Linked DNA regions of Arabidopsis thaliana. The protein of the gene in region 2 interacts with the protein of the main gene of each other region in a biochemical or structural test. Each region holds a gene or a part of one and is shown on either strand. Other genes may lie near its edges.

The links.
Region 1: the proteins of GRF1 (region 2) and KCO1 form a complex in vitro, tested with the Arabidopsis thaliana proteins (one study listed by BioGRID).

The regions. Positions count from the first base shown.
Region 1 is NC_003076.8:22,527,747-22,534,568, forward strand, and holds KCO1 (Outward rectifying potassium channel protein), read left to right. Parts: upstream 1-3,611; 5' UTR 3,612-3,690; exon of another isoform or gene 3,691-3,940; 5' UTR 3,941-3,971; coding exon 3,972-4,897; intron 4,898-4,981; coding exon 4,982-5,147; 3' UTR 5,148-5,376; downstream 5,377-6,822. Other genes in the region: AT5G55610 (isopentenyl-diphosphate delta-isomerase), read left to right, coding at 36-112; AT5G55620 (uncharacterized protein), read left to right, coding at 2,627-2,932; AT5G55640 (Na-translocating NADH-quinone reductase subunit A), read right to left, coding at 5,498-5,788, 5,871-5,971, 6,120-6,177. UniProt on the Arabidopsis thaliana protein: Voltage-independent, large conductance and potassium-selective tonoplast ion channel. Regulated by cytoplasmic calcium and pH. Does not mediate slow-vacuolar (SV) ionic currents, but essential to establish VK currents.
Region 2 is NC_003075.7:5,771,947-5,779,343, reverse strand, and holds GRF1 (general regulatory factor 1), read right to left. Parts: upstream 4,135-7,397; 5' UTR 3,958-4,134; coding exon 3,466-3,957; intron 3,389-3,465; coding exon 3,266-3,388; intron 3,175-3,265; coding exon 3,058-3,174; exon of another isoform or gene 2,973-3,057; coding exon 2,906-2,972; exon of another isoform or gene 2,700-2,905; intron 2,555-2,699; exon of another isoform or gene 2,345-2,554; coding exon 2,187-2,344; 3' UTR 1,863-2,186; downstream 1-1,862. Other genes in the region: TL29 (ascorbate peroxidase 4), read left to right, coding at 1-101, 181-282, 432-519, 601-701, 771-811, 887-1,017, 1,111-1,217, 1,296-1,433 and 2 more. UniProt on the Arabidopsis thaliana protein: Is associated with a DNA binding complex that binds to the G box, a well-characterized cis-acting DNA regulatory element found in plant genes. Involved in the regulation of nutrient metabolism.

The sequences.
Region 1 (6,822 bases), on a different chromosome or scaffold from region 2:
CATTGATTGATGTGTATTGTTTGTTCTCTATGTAGGTTGCGCGCTGGGAGACTTGGCTGGTCCGATGGTTGTTTCGGTTTGCCTGCAGAAGACTCTTCAAGCTGATTATTAAGTTCTTGTGTGGAAATTGAATTCTTCTACTTGAATCTTGATGATCCAAATGAAATCATAGAGCTTGTTTTTTGTTTCTGAAATTTCTTATTGTCTTCACTGAACCTTAAAAACAATGATCAATAGATTTCTCAAAATGTACCTACTTTTGACAACAGCACAATAAGTCAGGTATTTATTTTCCTCGGATTTTAGTTTTGTATCTGCGATTTTTCTTCTCTTTTTACTTTTGTAAGTAGGGATTTTGTGAACTATCCTCTTATGCAAACGTGAAAAAGAATGCTTGGAAGAAAAATTAGTATTTGAAGTATGGTTCAGCTAAACCAAAAGCCTAGCTTGGGATTCGAGATGATTGGGAATGGAGAACTAGTTTGTTTGGTTTAGGGTTCGGGTCAACTAAAGATTCCCATACCGGATTTAATTTGAACTTCTTTTGGACTGCAATTAGGCTTATTTTGGGTTCGGGGTCAGTTTTGGATTTGGCCATTTGGGTTAGTTTATAGGCCTCAAGTCTCCAAGTCCAACTAGACAAAACTCGAAAATCGATATTGTGAAGTGCTCTTTTATCTTTCACTCTTCACACAAGCATGCATTAAGTGAATCAACCAAGCATGCATTAGTTTTGGTGTCTAAATCTCTCAGGCCCTTATTAATACCTACCTATGATCTTTCTCAAATCTTTGGTACAATCTCACTCATTTTTTTATCAACCGAATATACCTAAAAATCTCTAAAAACGATGATCATTGCTGATTTGCTAAAAGAGGGAGAGATATTTTCAATTGTTAATGTATAGACTAGAGACTTTAAAGGGAGACACATCATCACTACCACCACACAAACACGAAACTCATATGAATGGCTCCAAATAAGAAGATTGTCTTAGTTAGAAAATGGACTTCCCTCTTTAATATAAATATTAAATACTTTCACCTACTTTCTCCTTGCACACCAAGCCACAACTGTTTTATACTTGTCCCCACCTAAGATAATGAATGCATGAATGCATGGTTTTCAACACCCTGAAAAAGTAAACCGGTAAAATTCATCGTGGGAGTCAAAATTGGTAGAGTTTAACATGCTTATTATTAATTTGCACACCCATTTCTGTTGTATGAGTGTAATCCACACACAAAAAAATTGTTTAGCAAATTGTTACACAAAACAGAGCTTAGGTAATAAGAAAATTAGCAAATTGTTACAGAAAATATATTCTCCTAAGTTGTCTAGCCTCTAGTATCCCGATACCATACAATCCACAAAACAGAGGATGGAATAAAGTGAGAGAGGAAGGAACAGAACAATACATAAGAAATAAAAAGCAACATAAAAGATTGGGTGTTCTTGTTAGTTAATTAGAAGAATGTTAAATTGTCATTATAAAATATTTTTTAAAGAATGTTAAATTTCTAGAAAACTTATCTTTGTGGGATGAAGAGAATATTATTTTCTTTTAAAAAAAGTTTTGTATTGTTAAATCTAAACATATACATCAAACTTTAAAAATCAAAGCAAAAAAAGAATATCTCTCCTTTTGCATGCTTTTGACATATTGAATTTAATAGGTAATTTTCTTAATTAAGATGTTAAACTTATGGATTCATGATTTGAACAAAACTGAAAAAAGTATATGGAAGCGTTGGTGAGATTCATACCTATCAAAATGAACAAAAGGATCACCAACCGAATAGTAAAACCAACTACTGTATTTATCATGGCCATTTTTCTTCTTCTTTCTTAATTTCTCTCTTTATTAAAAATTTGTTAATTATATCATAATCTTAACTGTTTTATATAAAAAGTGTTTTTTCCTAGAATATACAAGGTATTCCGCAAAAAATGCCAATAAAAATGGTTTTAAATTAAAAAGAAAGACCAAAACTCATATAACCTCAAAAACATAGTATGTTATTTTTAGTTAATATAAATATTAAATACTTTCACCTACTTTCTCCTTGCACACCACAACTGTTTTATACTTGTCCCCACCTAAGATAATGAGTGCATGAATGCATGAACCATCATTGGCCGATGCGTTTCCTGGTGCATGTAGCTCACAGCCGTCGTTCTCACATTTTGTTATTTATGATCATACTTTTTTTTCATTAAAAGGAAAAAGGTTTACTGGTTTGGTTTAGAACAAGAACTACTCGTTATAATCATACTTTTGTTTAATTAAAAAAACAAAAACAAATAATTTCTAGTACATCTTATATTACATACTATAGTTTGATGATAAAAATAAAATTCAAATGACGATTATCATGTCGAAAAGACAAATAATAATTGTCTTACTGACCTACCTGCCTGCCTCTATATATATACTAGTCTTTGGTCGCCTTTACTATAACCAAACATCGAGCTTGCCTTAGAGTTTGTCTCAAGCTTCTCCTTTTTTGGTATTTTGTCTTAAGCTTCCTTGCTTCTCTTTCTTCTTCTTCTCTACTCTTTCTCTCTATTTCAAACCTTCGTTTTCTTTCCTTTTTTGTATAAAATCTTAAAATCAACCAAGACAATGGAAATGAAATTGCTCTTTACATCGGCTTTCACCCAAATGTTCGGCTACTCGAACCATATGGATCAAGCCAGCAACTGCCAAAGCACCCGCAACAAAATTATAAAGATGATGAAGAAAGAAGAATTCCCAAGTGGATTCCAAGTCCCTCTTCACTACCCTAAATACTCCAAGTCTGATTACGAAGTTATGGATGATCTCCGCCTTGACTTGCTCCTCAAACAATATGGATTCTCCTTTGAAGGATCTCTTGAAGACAAGAGGGTTTTTGCAATTGAATCATTTCTCTGGCCTGATCAGCTTTAGATGGTCTATGTTGGTGTTGAATGATCTTATATCGCTCTCCACATGCATATCAATGAGCCTATACTCGAGTGGTTGAATGTTTTTAAAATTATGTCAAATTACCATGTATATCAATCACTTAGTAATGTTTTAGAACTATGTCAAATACTAGTGTGTGTTATATTTCTTTGTGTGTGGGGATGTTTTGAAGTATGCAATTCTTCACATATATATGTATCATATGAGTGCATTAATAACATCTTTGATGTCATGTATAACACTAAAAAAATGTGATTTATCGACTTATAAAAATCTTAACATATTGACATTAACATAAAACATATAGATTATTGTATGATATAGATTAAACATGACGTCATGCTGGATATTTTGGCTTATTGGCTTGTACATTACTTGTGATTATGAGTGTATAATATAAAACTAATTACTAGATTTGCACAAAAAAAAAACAGAAGGATAGAAAACTAACTAGAAAATTAAGACATTACATACATTCTTCTATATGAAAAAAAACATTTAAAAAACAAAACAAAACATTTTTATACTAAGATACTAATGAAAAATCCTATCAAGAAAATGAAGAAGATCATAAAAACAAAATTATCGGATTTGAAGAGAATAAATTTTGACCAAAAAAAAAGAAGATAATTAAAATAAAATAAAAACAAGAATTGGCCAACTGTGAGAACATCATCAATGAAGACCAATTGCGAGATCCGACAACACCGCTTCTTTTGATTTCGATCTTACTTTCCTGGGTATGTCTCAATTCTTCTTCCTCCTTCAGTTCGTGTTCTGTGTCTGATTGATTACTCTCACAAAACTCATCTTTTCATTGTCTAAAGGTCTAATCTTTAGCTATAACTCAAAATCTGTATCTAAGTTCTGACAAGTTTCTGTTACGAAATTCAAATTTTTTGATACATATGTTCATTTCTCAGAACAGGAGATGTCAATTTTGGCGATGGTTTTCGTAACATAAACATGAGATTTGATTGTTCTGTGCAGATCTCATAGTTAATCTGGTTTGAGTCTAGAAATGTCGAGTGATGCAGCTCGTACGCCATTGTTACCCACTGAGAAGATAGATACCATGGCTCAAGATTTCAACCTGAACTCAAGAACTTCTTCTTCAAGAAAACGAAGATTGCGTCGCTCTAGAAGTGCTCCTCGTGGTGATTGTATGTACAATGATGATGTCAAAATCGACGAACCACCTCCTCATCCGAGTAAAATCCCAATGTTCAGTGATCTAAACCCGAATCTCAGGCGAGTGATCATGTTCTTGGCTTTATATCTTACCATTGGTACGCTCTGTTTCTACCTCGTGAGAGACCAGATCTCCGGTCATAAAACCAGTGGTGTGGTAGATGCTCTCTATTTCTGTATAGTAACGATGACAACTGTTGGATACGGTGACCTTGTCCCTAATAGTTCCGCCTCAAGGCTACTTGCTTGTGCCTTCGTCTTCTCGGGAATGGTCCTCGTTGGTCACCTCTTAAGTCGAGCGGCGGATTATCTAGTGGAGAAACAAGAGGCTTTGCTCGTTAGGGCTTTCCATTTGCGTCAAAGCTTTGGTCCAACAGACATTCTCAAGGAGTTGCATACTAACAAGTTGAGATACAAATGCTATGCTACATGCCTTGTCCTTGTAGTCCTCTTCATTGTTGGCACGATTTTCCTTGTAATGGTTGAGAAAATGCCGGTTATCTCAGCTTTCTACTGCGTCTGCTCCACGGTTACAACATTGGGTTATGGAGATAAGAGCTTTAACTCGGAAGCCGGACGCCTTTTTGCTGTGTTTTGGATCTTGACGAGCAGCATATGTTTGGCTCAGTTTTTCCTTTATGTAGCTGAGCTAAATACAGAAAACAAACAGAGGGCGTTGGTGAAATGGGTTTTAACGCGAAGAATCACAAACAATGATCTCGAAGCAGCTGATCTCGATGAAGATGGAGTTGTTGGGTAAGAAAGACATCAGACATATTCTATCTTCTGTTTCCTTCTTCCTCTTCTTATTCTTTTTTTTTTGTCTATTGTGTGTTGCAGAGCTGCAGAGTTTATTGTGTATAAACTGAAAGAAATGGGTAAGATTGATGAGAAAGATATTTCTGGGATAATGGATGAGTTCGAGCAACTTGATTACGATGAATCAGGAACTCTCACGACTTCTGACATCGTTTTAGCTCAGACCACGTCTCAGATTCAAAGGTAAGCCTCATCATCATCATCATCTTGCGAAGACGAATCAGAATCTTTGTTTAGTTATACCTTCACACAACAAAAAGCCGAAGAGAGTGAACAGTTTTTCGAAATTTTGTTTGTTTTTTCCTGTTTGTGTTTGTAATGTAATGCCACACTCTAACTCTTTGATCGTTTCTTGATGCTGAGTGTATAATTTTACATACATCTATACATATGAAGCTCTCTAGTGTTATGCTCCATGACCAAGAATTCATGGATGATTCTCTCAAAGGACAGGGTATGAAGACTGTTTTATTGCTTTAAACTTTTTTGGTATTTTGATTGATACAAAACATTTTCAAAAGATAGCGGTTTCTCGCGTTATGGAAGTCGTCGTTTCTCGAACTGAGATTCATGGCAATGAGGGTCAAGCCAGTCTCTTGAAACACCTTTTCCCATATTAGTTCCTTTCTCTGCACCTGCACCCCCGCCTACAAGCTCTCTTAAGTTAGCCATTTTGTTTTCTCGACCAGAGCCGCTCATTTTCTGATCTGCTTCCTTGAGCATCTGCTTAAACCGCTGCTTGCGGCTCGATGTGTTACTACCACCATCTTGTAGCTGCGAAGGAGGAGCTCCATGTGGTCCTAAGTAGATGTTTTCTTCAGCTTTACTCTACAAAATCATACAATGAGAGATAAAGAGTTAACAACATTTTTTTGAAACTTGTCTTGTACGTAAGAAATCAATCACTAACCTTAGGAGAAGAAGGTTTTGATGTTTCAACTTCTGAATCATTATTATTATTAACCTTGTCTTCTTCAATCTCCAAGCTCGGAATCACAAACCCATCAGTGTCTGCCACCAATCAAATGATCGACTCAAGATTTGTAATTACACAAGAAGATACAGAAATTTGAATGATTGAATCCGATCACATAAACACGAAAGAACCCTAATTTCAATAAAGAAATGCAACTGAATCGATTAAAGCGAAATTACTTACCCCATTCATCATTGTCTTCTACCTTGGGAAGATTCGTCTGCATTACAGATGTATCCATTGAAGACTAACGTTCATGGACACTCTCCGAAGGACCAACAGTTTACAAAAAATAATTTCTCAGCTCTTTGGCTTTTGAATGTGAATTTATGTATCAATTTTACAATAATTCGATTATTTTTCACCTGATTGATTTTTCGCGAAACCCTAAATGTTAGAGCTTGGGAAAAGGGGGAAACAGATAAATAATGATGGTGTTGAGGCGAATCGGATCGGATCCGGATTCGATTGTTTGCGATTGACACGGCGGAGAAGGAGATGTTAGGGATACTTTTGTAATCTACTATCGATGGTCGGTATTCAGCCACGTGTCAGCTACTCATTCGTGAAACTCCTAGACGAAAATGTTGCGTTGTGCTTTGTGAAACAAAACTAGTACTATGTGTTTGGTTTTTTGTTTATATTAGGGAAATTGCACTCTATATACATATAAAATTATAAAATTAAGTATTAGAAAAAACTACTCTCGAATCTTTTCTCTCTATCATGAAAATACCCTTATATCTCTATACCATATTTGCTTTTGACGTTAAATATTTTGTTACCTTTTAATAATAATGTTATCATCTTCCCATAATTATATAATCTTTAAAATCAAATCGTTGGTTCAATAGCTGGTAATTTGTTTATATCGTCAATTGTATTA
Region 2 (7,397 bases):
CAGAAATGGGAGGAGTGTCCTTCCTCTCCACTGTTCCTTCCTTCACCAACACAACCAATCATCAACATCTCACTACACTCTCTTCTTCTTCTCATCGCTCTGTGAGTTTCAACCATTGTTACATTCTTTACTTCTAACCCATTTTACATTTCTTCTGCTAACAATTCTTCTTCTGATCAGGCTGTTATACGATGTTCCAAGATTGAACCTCAAGTTTCCGGTGAAAGTTTAGCTTTCCACCGCCGTGATGTTCTCAAACTCGCCGGCACTGCAGTCGGAATGGTACCTTAACACTTGACTCGATCAAAAATTACATACACATTGGTACAAATGAGATATTGTAATGTATAGTCTGTGGCTACATCTTCTTGAAGTTGTCCTCTCTATGTCACATTTGATGAGTTCTTGGCAGTGATGATCTCTCTTGTTAGGAATTAATAGGCAACGGTTTCATTAACAATGTGGGTGATGCAAAAGCTGCTGACTTGAATCAACGTAGACAACGATCCGAGTTTCAATGTGAGTATCTGAAACAAGAACACTAGTGTGGTACCATTAGGTTGTTATTGGCACTAAAGGTTTCACTTTTATATTATGCAGCAAAGATCAAGATTTTGCTTTCAACCACCATTAAGGCTAAACCGGAGCTTGTACCTTCCTTACTCAAACTAGCTCTCAATGATGCTATGACTTATGATAAGGTCAGGCTTCATATAATGCTCTTGTCCATCTCTCTGGTGACCCTTTAATGATACTAGCTTTTTGTCTAGGCTACTAAATCCGGGGGAGCCAATGGATCCATACGGTTCAGGTAGTTATATGATGTAAGAACATTATAAGAGTAATCTTTAGATGATGTCTAATGCATTCTTTTCTTTTTGTGAAGCTCTGAGCTAAGTAGAGCAGAGAATGAGGGACTTTCTGATGGGTTGAGTTTGATAGAGGAAGTGAAGAAGGAGATTGACTCTATCTCGAAGGGAGGTCCTATTTCATATGCAGATATCATTCAATTAGCAGGTAATGTTATAGTATATACCAAAACTTGTTCATGAAGAGTAGCATTATTGTATTTGTGGATAACTGAAATCTTTCTTGGGTTGGTTTCTGTAGGACAATCAGCGGTCAAGTTTACATATTTAGCATCGGCTATCCGAAAATGTGGTGGAAATGAAGAGAAGGGGAACTTACTTTACACAGCATATGGTTCAGCTGGTCAGGTAAACAATGCTATCGTATTCGCTTTTGAGTCGCGGCGTTTTGTTCAAATCGATACTGAACCGTTGTGAATCTGTTAGTGGGGATTGTTTGATAGAAATTTTGGAAGGAGTGATGCAACAGAGGCTGATCCAGAAGGCAGAGTCCCACAATGGGGGAAAGCAACTGTGCAAGAGATGAAAGATAAGTTCATTGCTGTTGGATTGGGTCCTCGTCAGGTACATGATTTTCGGTTTAAACAGAGAATTATCTACTAGGATCACTCGAAGTAACTAACCTGTATGAGGAATTTGTAGCTAGCTGTAATGTCTGCATTCTTGGGTCCTGATCAAGCTGCAACAGAACAGCTCTTAGCTACTGACCCTCAAGTTGCTCCATGGGTTCAGAAGTATCAAAGAAGCCGTGAAACCGTATCTCAGACTGATTACGAGGTTCGTTTTCACTCGATTTGCCTTAATCATATATTCATCTACCTCAAACTCAAGCTCATGTTTTGGTTTATGAATATGTTTGTAGGTTGATCTCATAACTGCATTCACAAAGCTAAGTTGCTTAGGACAGCAAATCAACTTCGAGGCATATACATATCCCGTCGAACGGATCAATCTGAGCAAACTCAAGCTATAAGCTATGTACACTATATGTATAACATGAGAGGAAACTTCGAAATAAACCAAAGATTTTTCTTGACATTGAAACAAAAAGAGAAGTTGAATCCATTACAAACAAAGACACAGAAGATAGGAGTCAAATCACGATAAAATGGAAACAGATAAACGAAAAATAATAGGAATCGAGTTTTCGTATCCACGGTTGAGAAAAGCAGCAAAAAAGGACAAGAATTAGACTGCCTTAGAGAGCTTGGGGATAAAAGGAAATAAGAAACCAACAGAGAAACACCTCCAAGAGAAAAACATATTAATGGAGAGGTTTTAGATACTGAAATGACAACAAAGTTGCGGTAAGACGACTTAGGATTGTTGCTCGTCAGCGGGTTTTGCTGCTGCTGGTGCTGCTTCTTTGATGTCATCAGCAACATCGTCCTGATTGAAAAAAACATTTGACAAGATCATCATAATCAGAATCAGACCACAAGAAAGAAGGATTGAGGAATGTATCAAAATGTAAACTAAGCAACAACTTGATTTCCAAATCTAGTCTCCCTCAATGGCATATATCTTGCTCATGGTTTCAGAAATCACAAACAGGCTTAAGCAAGGCATAAGGAGGAATGCATCAAAATGTAAACTAAACCACTTGATATTCAATTCGTGTCTTCCTCAATGGCTTAACAAGGCTTATGATTTCATAAATTAAGCAACAAAACAGGATTAAACACATTTGACAATCACTAAAATCAGAATATGACCAAGAGAATGCATCAAAATGTAAACTAAACTGTTTGTTTTCCATATCTAGACTTCCGCAATGGCTTAACAAGGCTCATGGTTTCAGAAATCAAGCAACAAAACAGGCTTAAATACATTTGACAATCACTAAAATCAGAATCAGAGCCAGCAGAATGCATCCAAATGTAAACTAAACTGTTTTATTACAAATCAAGTCTTTCTTAATGGTTTAATTATAGGCTAAAAGTTTCAGAGATCAAGAAACAAAAACGTTATTCGTTCATCAAGCAACAAAAACAAGCTTATAAGGCCAAAATATAATACCTAGCAAGATTACTAACACAGTTGACAATCACCAAAATCAGAATTAGACCAGAAGAATGCATCAAATAAACTTGATATCCAAATCTAACTTTTGTCAATGACTTAATTAGGCTCATTGTTTCACAATTCAAGCAACAAAATCAATCATACAGGAGCCAATATATAATACCTGCATATCAGAAGTCCAGAGAGTGAGGTTATCACGAAGAAGCTGCATAATCAAAGTACTGTCCTTGTATGACTCTTCACCAAGAGTATCCAATTCAGCAATTGCTTCATCAAACGCCTAAATAAATCCATAAACAAAAACTCATCAAACACACACATAAACCAACAATACATAATCATATAAAACATCCCTCAGATGAGATCCAAACCTGCTTAGCGAGATTACAAGCACGATCTGGAGAATTGAGAATCTCATAGTAAAACACAGAGAAGTTCAACGCAAGACCAAGACGAATCGGATGCGTTGGAGCCAATTCAGAATTAGCAATATCCTACACAACAAACCAAAATTTCAAAAACCTAAATCACACAAAAATCAAATCACAGATCGGAGAAAGAGATCAAAAACCTGAGCAGCTTTGTAAGCAGTAAGAGTATGTTCAGCAGCATCTTTCCTCTCTTGACCAGATTTGAACTCAGCCAAGTACCTATGATAATCACCTTTCATCTTCAGATAAAACACCTTCGAATCTCCAGAAGCAGCAGCGGGAACGAGAATCGTATCGAGAAGCTTAAGGATTCCGTCACAGATATCAGAAAGTTCCGTTTCGATTTTGCTTCTGTAGTCACGGATCAACGAAACGTGGTCATCGTTACCGCGAGACTCCTCCTTTTGTTCGATCGATGAAATGATTCTCCACGAAGCACGACGAGCTCCGATGACGTTTTTGTAAGCGACGGAGAGGAGATTACGTTCTTCGACGGTGAGTTCGTCTTTGTCAACAGCTTTCGCGACTTTCTCCATGAATTCAACCATTTCTTCGTAACGCTCTGCTTGTTCGGCGAGTTTCGCCATGTATACGAATTCATCTCTTGCTGAGGAAGCTCCTGGTGTCGCCATTGTTGTTTAGATCGGAGAAGAAGATGATGAACAAAGTGAGGAAGAAGAAGAAGAAATGATTCTCAGATCTGAGAGAGTTTTTTTTTTTTTTTATCGGCTCCGTGGATTTTTGTTTTTGTTTATAATGAATGAGTGGGGAGCGATGATTACGGATTGTGAGAAGAAAGGAGAGCCGTTGGATTGAAAGCTGGCAAAAACACGGATTCGTAACGAAAAAAGGCGCTGGCTTTTCAGATACTTTTTAGGTCAAGTTTGAATTTTCAATGATTGGAAAAGGGTATTTCTGGAAATTACTTATTTAATGGGCTTTTTTCCTGCGAAACGGGTTTATTGAATGGGCTTTAAAGCCTATTTTACGGATTAACTCATTTGCGCGTGGGTGAATTAATTATTGAATGGCCCGAATAGGCCCAATAAATATAACGCTTGTATTTTGGTATACTTACTGATTTCATTTTTAATCGGATATCCGATATGAAATATGAAAAATAGAAAATTTAAAACCCAAAGATGGCAATATTTCATTAAGATTTCTTTAGCTGTTAATCTTTAGTATTTAAATATTTAATTTAATGAACGTAATTTCATAAAATTTACAAACAAATACGTCAATCATCGTAAATCTAGTGAGCCGACATCGTTAATTTACAAATATTATTATAAACATTTAATTATCTCTTTTTAAAAAAAAATTAAGAGGACCAACTGTTATAATAAGATATTATTATAAACATCTAATTATTTTTTTTATTTTTTTTATTTAAGAAGACCAACTGTTCTGTTTTGGATACTCATAATTACTATATTTCTAAGGCTATAAGTCCTCATCACTTTAGTAAAAATAAATTTTGTGGATTGGTTTCATCCCCTCTATTAGGAACATGGACAACATCCATTTGCATGTCAAGAAGGCTTTGCATGTCTATGTAAGTAAGTTTTATATTTATTTGAAGATCTCGGTTTTTTTTTTCTTTTTTGTGAGATCATAATTATAATATTCGTGTATTTACTAAAATTTAATTTCTCTATGAAAAAAACTATTTGCTGAAAATAGTATGCACAAAACGTACACACATATCGTTGTTAAACAAGCAAACATGTAGAGTATCGATTAAACGACATATGTATATACACAATTTTCCTGAAGTTAGGATTTTATCAAGATTTCTTTCAAGTTTGATCTTGCAAGGTAGAGAGAAAGCCTCATAATTTGGAGTCACACTAAAGACAATGATAGGTCTTTGAGTCAGAGATAATGGAGTTTTAGGTTGAATAACTAATGCTCTAACCCCTCATATTGGAGTTTCAGCTAGGAACCAAAACATTCAAAAGGAATCAAACACATGGAGAATACACAAACGGTGTTTAGGATGGATATAATAGAGATTACAACCTTATCGAGATTCGCTTTAGGATGCATAAAATAGTAGGAGGCAAGAAGTCAAGAGACTTTCATGGGCATCGATGTAGAAAAAGTTCTCTGCCACAGAGGAAAAACAATTTTAAGGTCCTAGAATCTACATTTCATTAAGGATATATAGTAGAACCGCGAATGTGGTTAAAATTAACCGTTGGAGTGAAGAATTGGATAGGCTTTTGCTTTTCAAACATGAAATCAACAAAGTCCTTTGTAGTTGGGCATATAAGATAGATTCATCTCAGAACTTCCTGGCTCCATCCCAAACAAGATGTTGTAGGACTTATTCCAACGTGTTCGTTGTTTATCATCTAGAAGCGTAAACATGAGAAAAGAGTAAGCATAGATTATAAACAAAATCACAAAGTTTCTAGATTCCACATAACGCTAGGAACTCATCAATAGAGAAGCAGCAACTAAAAAAAAAGCTCACCTTTTAATTTCCATGTTTCTTTCCAAAAACGATCAGTGAAATTACGTATAGCTTTAATTTTTCCCCAAAGCAAGGATTGAATCTTGCGCTAACAACAAAAATGTTCAAATTTTAATAATTATGGAACAAATAATCAAAATATTCATAATTTAATAGGTCTTGCGCAAAACTATCTATTTTTACCCACAATAATAGCATGTATATGGGTGATACTCATATGGTATCATAAGGAATTTTTAAGTATTATTTATAATGTTTGAGATTTTTTATGATACTCCTACTAAATATGTTTGCACTAGATATTAACCCGCGGTATACCGCGGGTAAGTTTATATTTTAGTTAAACTAAAAATCTTTTTTTGTAAAGATGATTAATAAATTTATGATATTATTTTATTTGATTTTAAATATATAATACACTGCGAGTTGTATATGTTTTGTTGATATTTTTTATATTCTTTAATGTTGATATTCTATGTTTTGTTGTATATGTTGTGTTGTTCTTTTTAGTCGCATATGGGGGGTGGTGGCGACGGAGAGAGCAAAAATGTTTCTTTGGTTAGTCGGGAATCAAGCTCTAATGACGGATGCTGAGCGATTTAGAAGGCATCTGTGTATAACAGATGTTTGCCAAGTCTGTAAGGGGGGAAGTGAGACGATTATTCACATCCTTCGGGATTGTCCCGCAATGGCAGGACTTTGGGATCGTATCATTCCCCAGCGGCGGAGGAGATCCTTCTTTGCACAGTCGTTGATCGAATGGTAGCATGATAACCTAGGTGATGACCGGGAAATATATGAGAGTGTATGGTCTACGGTTTTCACGATGGCTATTTGGTGGGCTTGGAAGTGGCGCTGTGATAACGTGTTTGACAAACGTGGTAAGTGTCGGGATAGAACGAGGTTTATTAAGGATGCGGCTAAGGAAGTAACTACCGCTACTAGTAAACATAAAGGAGGTTCGGGGATAGGCGGTAGGGTGGAAGTAATGGTTGGTTGGGGTGTGCCTAACGATGGGTGGCTGAAGCTCAATACTGGTGGGGCATCACGGGGTAATCCGGGTCTGGCTACAGCGGGAGGAGTGCTAAGAAACAGTGCGGGAGAGTGGTGTGGGGGTTTCGCTCTTAACATTGGTCGTTGTACGGCTCCGGTGGCGGAGTTATGGGGTGTCTATTACGGCATGTACTTCGCTTGGGAGAAGAAGGTGACGAGAGTGGAGTTGGAAGTAGACTCGACATTGGTGGTGGGCTTTCTCAAGACTGGGGTTAGCGAGCGACACCCTTTGTCTTTCTTGGTACGGTTGTGCCACGGCTTTTTTTCGAAGGACTGGATAGTCCGTATTTCTCATGTGTATAGAGAGGCTAACCGCCTTACTGACGGGTTAGCTAACTATGCGTTCTCTTTGCTATTGGGCTTTATGCTTTTGTTTTTGTTCCTCTTGTTGTTGATTCGCTGTTTAGTGATGACGTTATTGAGTCTGCGCGCCCTCGTCGAGTATACTCGTTTTTGTAGTTTGTTTTAATTTTCAATAAAATGGGAGACTAGTCTCCCCTCTTCTACCAAAAAAATGTAGATGGTCTATGGTACATT